Kluyveromyces lactis: one gene and its partner. The protein of the gene in region 1 interacts with the protein of each later gene in a pairwise test. Links are inferred from orthologs where the notes say so. Each region holds a gene or a part of one and is shown on either strand. Other genes may lie near its edges. The genes, in order: PEX21 and PPA2.

The links.
Region 2: the proteins of PEX21 (region 1) and PPA2 interact in a two-hybrid assay, tested with the Saccharomyces cerevisiae proteins (2 studies listed by BioGRID). The link is inferred for Kluyveromyces lactis from reciprocal best matches to the Saccharomyces cerevisiae genes PEX21 and PPA2.

Annotation. Positions count from the first base shown.
Region 1 is NC_006041.1:1,384,753-1,387,287, forward strand, and holds PEX21 (Pex21p), read left to right. Parts: upstream 1-1,049; coding exon 1,050-1,970; downstream 1,971-2,535. Other genes in the region: TDA11 (Tda11p), read right to left, coding at 2,174-2,535. UniProt on the Saccharomyces cerevisiae protein: Receptor that mediates peroxisomal import of proteins containing a C-terminal PTS2-type peroxisomal targeting signal via its interaction with PEX7.
Region 2 is NC_006041.1:974,420-977,501, reverse strand, and holds PPA2 (inorganic diphosphatase PPA2), read left to right. Parts: upstream 1-1,534; coding exon 1,535-2,428; downstream 2,429-3,082. Other genes in the region: RSN1 (Rsn1p), read left to right, coding at 1-1,318; NUP188 (Nup188p), read left to right, coding at 2,683-3,082. UniProt on the Saccharomyces cerevisiae protein: Involved in energy production. Its activity is stimulated by uncouplers of ATP synthesis.

The DNA of each region.
Region 1 (2,535 bases):
TCATCTGGCACCAATCGAAAAGAAATACACGATGACTGACTTAATTAATTTAACCGGTACAGTACCCAGCCATGTGATACCTAAATTTGATGCCTTGGCTCGAATAAAGGAACTTAAGCCATACGAGTGAACAGGGCAGCTTTCGCTGCCCTGTTCACTACTAAATTGCCTGTTCAAATTGGCTTTGCCCTTTGGCAATGACAGATTCTATTTCTTTTTCTTCCTTTAACTACTGGCATATTGAGTTAAGAAACACCTGGGAATGATCTCCGGGTAACGCGGAAAAAAAACCCACCTCTTGCTGCACCCCTTTTTTCATTGTCCACACTGTGCTTTGCCCGATTTTGCGGGTGTCGCACGACGACGGAGTTTATTTCCGCCGTTTCAGGCAAGGGAAGAGCTGAAACGGCTGAGTGACGGGTGGCGGCCGGGTAAGGAAAGAAAATACACTGATTACATAATACCATCCACGTGACGTAGTCACGTGGATGGTATTATGTAATCTCAGAGTTGAATGTCCGAAAGCATTCTTTTTTTTTTTTCTTCCTTCCTTTTCCTTTTCCCCCGGGGTTTAAAAATTCCGTTCCGTCCCGACCGGCATTCATTATGCAACTAATCGTCTTTTAGATTATCAAAATGTCAAATGATTATTCCATTTCGACCGAACTACCGCCTCTCCACTTGCTTACGTACTGTTTTTGGGTTCCCTCATCTAATAGCTTCCTCAATCGGCTAGAAGTGCCAGTACTGGTCTTCAGAAGTCCATAGAAAGCCTCACTGTTACCCGGGGGGTTTGCGCATCTGTCGCTCTTTCACTTTTTTTTTTTTTATTCACTTCCATTCCACATCTTTCAACCGTTAGTGGTCTGAACTTGTTTCATTTCTTTATTCATAATTTCTTTCTTTCGTCCAGGTTCTGCATTTATTATATATATATATATATATGTATATAAATAAAGTTTGTACATTGCTTGTTTCGATGATTTGCGGACTAGTTGTCTTATGTCTGTTGCTCGAGGAGACTACCACCAACCAAGAAATATAATACCATGTCAGTGTGTCAAACGAATCCTTTGAACACTCTTGTTTCGAAGTCTGGTTATAGGTTCGGACAGCCGAATCAGCACCAACAGAGCATCGCACAGCAGCAGAGCAGACCAAGAAATAATGCACTAGACCACCAGTTCTCTCAGTTTACTGGTGCCTCGGGTCCCAGTTTCGCTCATCCACAGCATCAACAGCTGCCTATGGCAGCTGTTGTTGCTAACGCTACTACTGCAGCCAGTACTACTAGTAATACTGCTACAGCCTCTGATCACCATGTTTGGATCGATCAGTTCGCAAACATGCAGGTGCACGACAAGACCGAGTTCCCAACAGATTATAAACAGATGTATTCGCAGTACGAGGCGCGTGGCGCCTCGTACTCCATGGGTGCACCGGTGATGGTGTCCCATTCACAAATGTTCCCGCGTCATCAGCAATCTCTGATGGTGAACCAACTCGAGTCACAAGCGTATGCCAGTAGTAGCGCGAAGCTCGATGAACAATTTGCTGAACTGGAAAGACAAGTGCAAGACGATGAAAAAGAACAGCAACAGGACAAGGATGACGATTTCCATCTCAAAGAAACGTCTCCTCTAGACGAAGATCAACGCCAATTAAAAGAAGCAGCCCAATCCATTTACACAACTCTTTCAGATAAATCATCTACAACTAGTTCGAAATTTTCGAACTCCAAGTTCCTTGGACTCATGAGAAATATCAGCGATGGTGTAATAACTCTGAAAAAGAACCCAGATGAGGATAAATATACGGAATTATATTCTCCTTCTACCGGTGAAACTTTTGGCGAAGAGTATTTCCCAGTGCAGGATAGTGTTTTAGGCGACCCCTTGGACTCCATTGGTGACTTATCTAATATGAGTTCATCGGAAGCCGCTGCAAAAGTGTACCATAACTCCGTTTGAAAAAAAAAAAATAAAATGGTATTACTAAGTATGAGTGGAGGGGTATTTCTCTGTTGTCAGATCTACTGTTATTTTGTCGATACATATTGAGTTAGAGTTACTCTACACTCACGTGGAAAATCACCTGGCAGGATCACCATATTCTACTTACTTCCCAATATTAGATTAACTTAGCTAAAGCTTAGTTCCAAAAATAATCTTATTTAATGACTATAATGATACATTTCAATCTCTTTTGCTTGAGTTGATGATTCTGCCTTTCTTGTGCCGTAATCTTCCATATTGGTAGCAAGACCAGTCGCTATCGTGCCTATAGACCCATCAGCATCTTCTTCCTCTGTTGCTAGTAACCCAAGCCCGTTTTTAAACTCATTTACTAAGGACCAAATCGCACTTCCCGCATTGTCGTCACCTTTTGGCTTGCCCTCTGATTGATTTTCAGTTGCACTGGATCCCGAGTCGCCTAATCCTAACTTCGTTTCAACGGTCCCCTGAATAATTTGGTCAAATTGGTTGAGTAATGAAACGGATTTTGTCCATAACGAGCTTGATTTGTTATCAGCGG
Region 2 (3,082 bases), about 410 kb from region 1:
CACTCAACAAGCTTATTTCGCATTCCAAGTTATCCAAGTGTTCTTAGTTACCACGTTGGCCTCCTCTGCTACTTCTACTGTTACTGCCATCGTCGAAGAGCCAACTTCCGCGATGAACTTGTTGGCTGAGAATTTACCTAAGAGTTCCAATTTCTACGTCGGTTACATCATTCTACAAGGTTTATCCATCTCATCAGGTGCCTTGCTGCAAATCGTGCCTTTGATCTTGTTCTTCGTGTTGGGGATGTTCCTTGATTCTACTGCAAGAAAAAAGTACGCTAGATTCACTTCACTATCCTCAATGGCGTGGGGTACTACATTCCCTGTTTACACTAACTTGGCTGTTATCACTTTCTCCTACGCGATCATCTCTCCATTGATCTTGCTGTTTGCATGTGTTGCATTCTTCCTATTATACGTTGCTTACCTTTACAATTTGACGTATGTGTTCCAGGAATCTCCAGATTCCCGTGGAATCCATTACCCAAGGGCTTTGTTCCAAACAATGGTCGGTTTGTACTTGGGACAAATTTGTTTGTTGGGTCTCTTTGTTGTTGGTAAAGGTTGGGGTCCAATCGTGCTACAAGCCATTTGTCTAGGTGTCACTGTTTTCGTTCATCTAAACTTCAATTCAGCATTTGACCATTTAATGGCCTTTGAACCTGTTGATACAATGAAGGCATTGGATGGTAAATCAAACACACCATCTTACATCAGAGATTTCGTTGAACCAGAAAAGGATGAAATCAAGGAATTGCCACCATTCCAAATCAAGAAGTACCATCCTCGTTCCTCGTCACAATTCGACCAAAGAACTACATCCATTCTGAGTGACAACACTTACGAAATCCAAACTGGTGTCTTTGATACCGATAATGAAAACACTTTGAACACAGTTCCATTGCTAGCAGACGGTGACATGACTCCAGTGCCACCAGCTCCATTCTGGAAAAGGTTCTTACTCCCTCACATCTACTATTCTTACAAGGCTGTGAAAACAAGATTGCCCGAGATCTACAATCTACCAGATCCAACAGAAATAACCGATGAAAAAGAAATCAAGCATGCATACGATTTCCCAACAGTCTCAGCTAAATGTCCATTCCTATGGATTCCTCGTGATCCATATGGATTCTCTACAGTTCAGATTGCTGATTTAGCTGGTGTCGTTGAAATTTCTGATGAAGGTGCTCGTTTCACAGAATCTGGCTCTATTGAGTGGGAAACTGCTCCACCTTCTTACAATGATTCTCAAATGCAAGTTGTATCTAATCCGTTTGACGAACAAGATGAAGATAATCTTCAGAGAGAGGAATAATCGTCAAGATCCAATCTAAGCCATTTTCTCTTACCATGTTGTGTAAGCTTTTAATTTATCTTTTTGTAATATTTCCACTAATCACTGATTAAATAATAATTTGTCTATTAAATTTCAAGCTTACCGAATTACAACCAAACACTAAGGAATCGTGGTCCAGTCGAGTCTGGGTATCCCACAGAAAGGATTCATTCCATAGTTGCTGTGTGGGAATTGATGTCTAGAGATATGAGAAGGGCTTCGCAACATTTGAGGTTGATTGGCAACCATTTACATGCTAGAAACTACCACAACGTTTTGGTTGGAAGCAAATACTCATCGTCTTTTAAACAGTACTTGCAGCTGCCAAACGGTGAAATTGGGTCCTATTTCCACGATGTGCCATTAGACTTAGATGTTGATGCCAAAACATGTAACATGATCGTAGAGGTTCCACGTTGGAGTAATGGGAAGTTTGAAATCAGTAAGACCGAACCATTTAACCCCATCACACAGGACATAAAGAAAGGCAAGCCACGATTTGTCAATAACATTTTCCCTTACCATGGATACATTCATAACTATGGGGCTATCCCACAGACATGGGAACAGCCACTTATTGAAGTATTGCCCGGTTTCAAGGGTGATAATGACCCATTGGACTGTTGTGAAATTGGTTCCAGCATCGCCAAAATGGGAGATATCAAAAAAGTAAAGCTTCTAGGGTCATTAGCCCTCATTGACGATGGAGAACTCGATTGGAAAGTCATTTGTATCGACATTGAAGATCCCATTGCTATAAAATTGAACAAGTTGGCAGATGTAGACACTGTTATGCCTGGTCTCTTGGATGCAACTAGAACATGGTTCAGAGATTACAAGATTCCTGCTGGGAAACAACCTAATGTGTTTGCATTCGAAGGTGAGTACCAGGACCAAGCATCTACACTTTCTACGGTACAAGAATGTCACGAAGCCTGGAATGCTCTAGTTAGGGGAGAAATTAAAGCAGATGGATCAGAGGCCGAGATTCCCTCCATTGTCAGAGCGGGAACTCACATAAGAGTTGAACCTAATCAACAAAATGACACACCAATCCCACAAGAAGTGGACAAATGGTACTATGTATGAACTTAAAAGCAGTCAGTGGTCAGTAAGCTTCTTCGGTTAGGTTAACCTGGCACAGCTCATCTCCTCTTATTATGCCTTTATGATATACATGTCCAATATTTTGATGTTACCCTCTCTCATATGTAGTGCAAAATTTTAATGTAAACAAAACTATATTTAATGAAACTATTCGATCTAACAATTAAGACGATGAGACAGTGGTACAGATTCACGTCAACTAAAGGCTATTGCGCTGGCCAGGTGTACCGTGCAGCATGTCATCTTTATCATTTGCTGGAATTTGTGCGTTTCTCCGCTCTGGGGAATACGATAAGGTACATAATGAGCCTACTTTCCAGGCAATCGATAAATTCTTGAAGGACAACGAAGAGATACTGGTTCATCTTTCGAGGTTTACCTCAGTTGAAAACACTGATTCCGTTGGAAAACAGCTGCAATTGAGGGGTTATTCATATAATGTGACGGTAGAGGACGAAAAATTGGCCAATGAGCTTTCAATTGCGTTAAATGTACATCAAAAAGAGTGTTTGAGAGTTATTTCGCAGACCAGGACCAGGTTCCCAGATTGTCCAATGGAAAAAGATACCATCGTTAAACAGATCTTACATGAAAGAAACTGTGTCTTGGATACAACCCTCGTTTTATTAAATCATG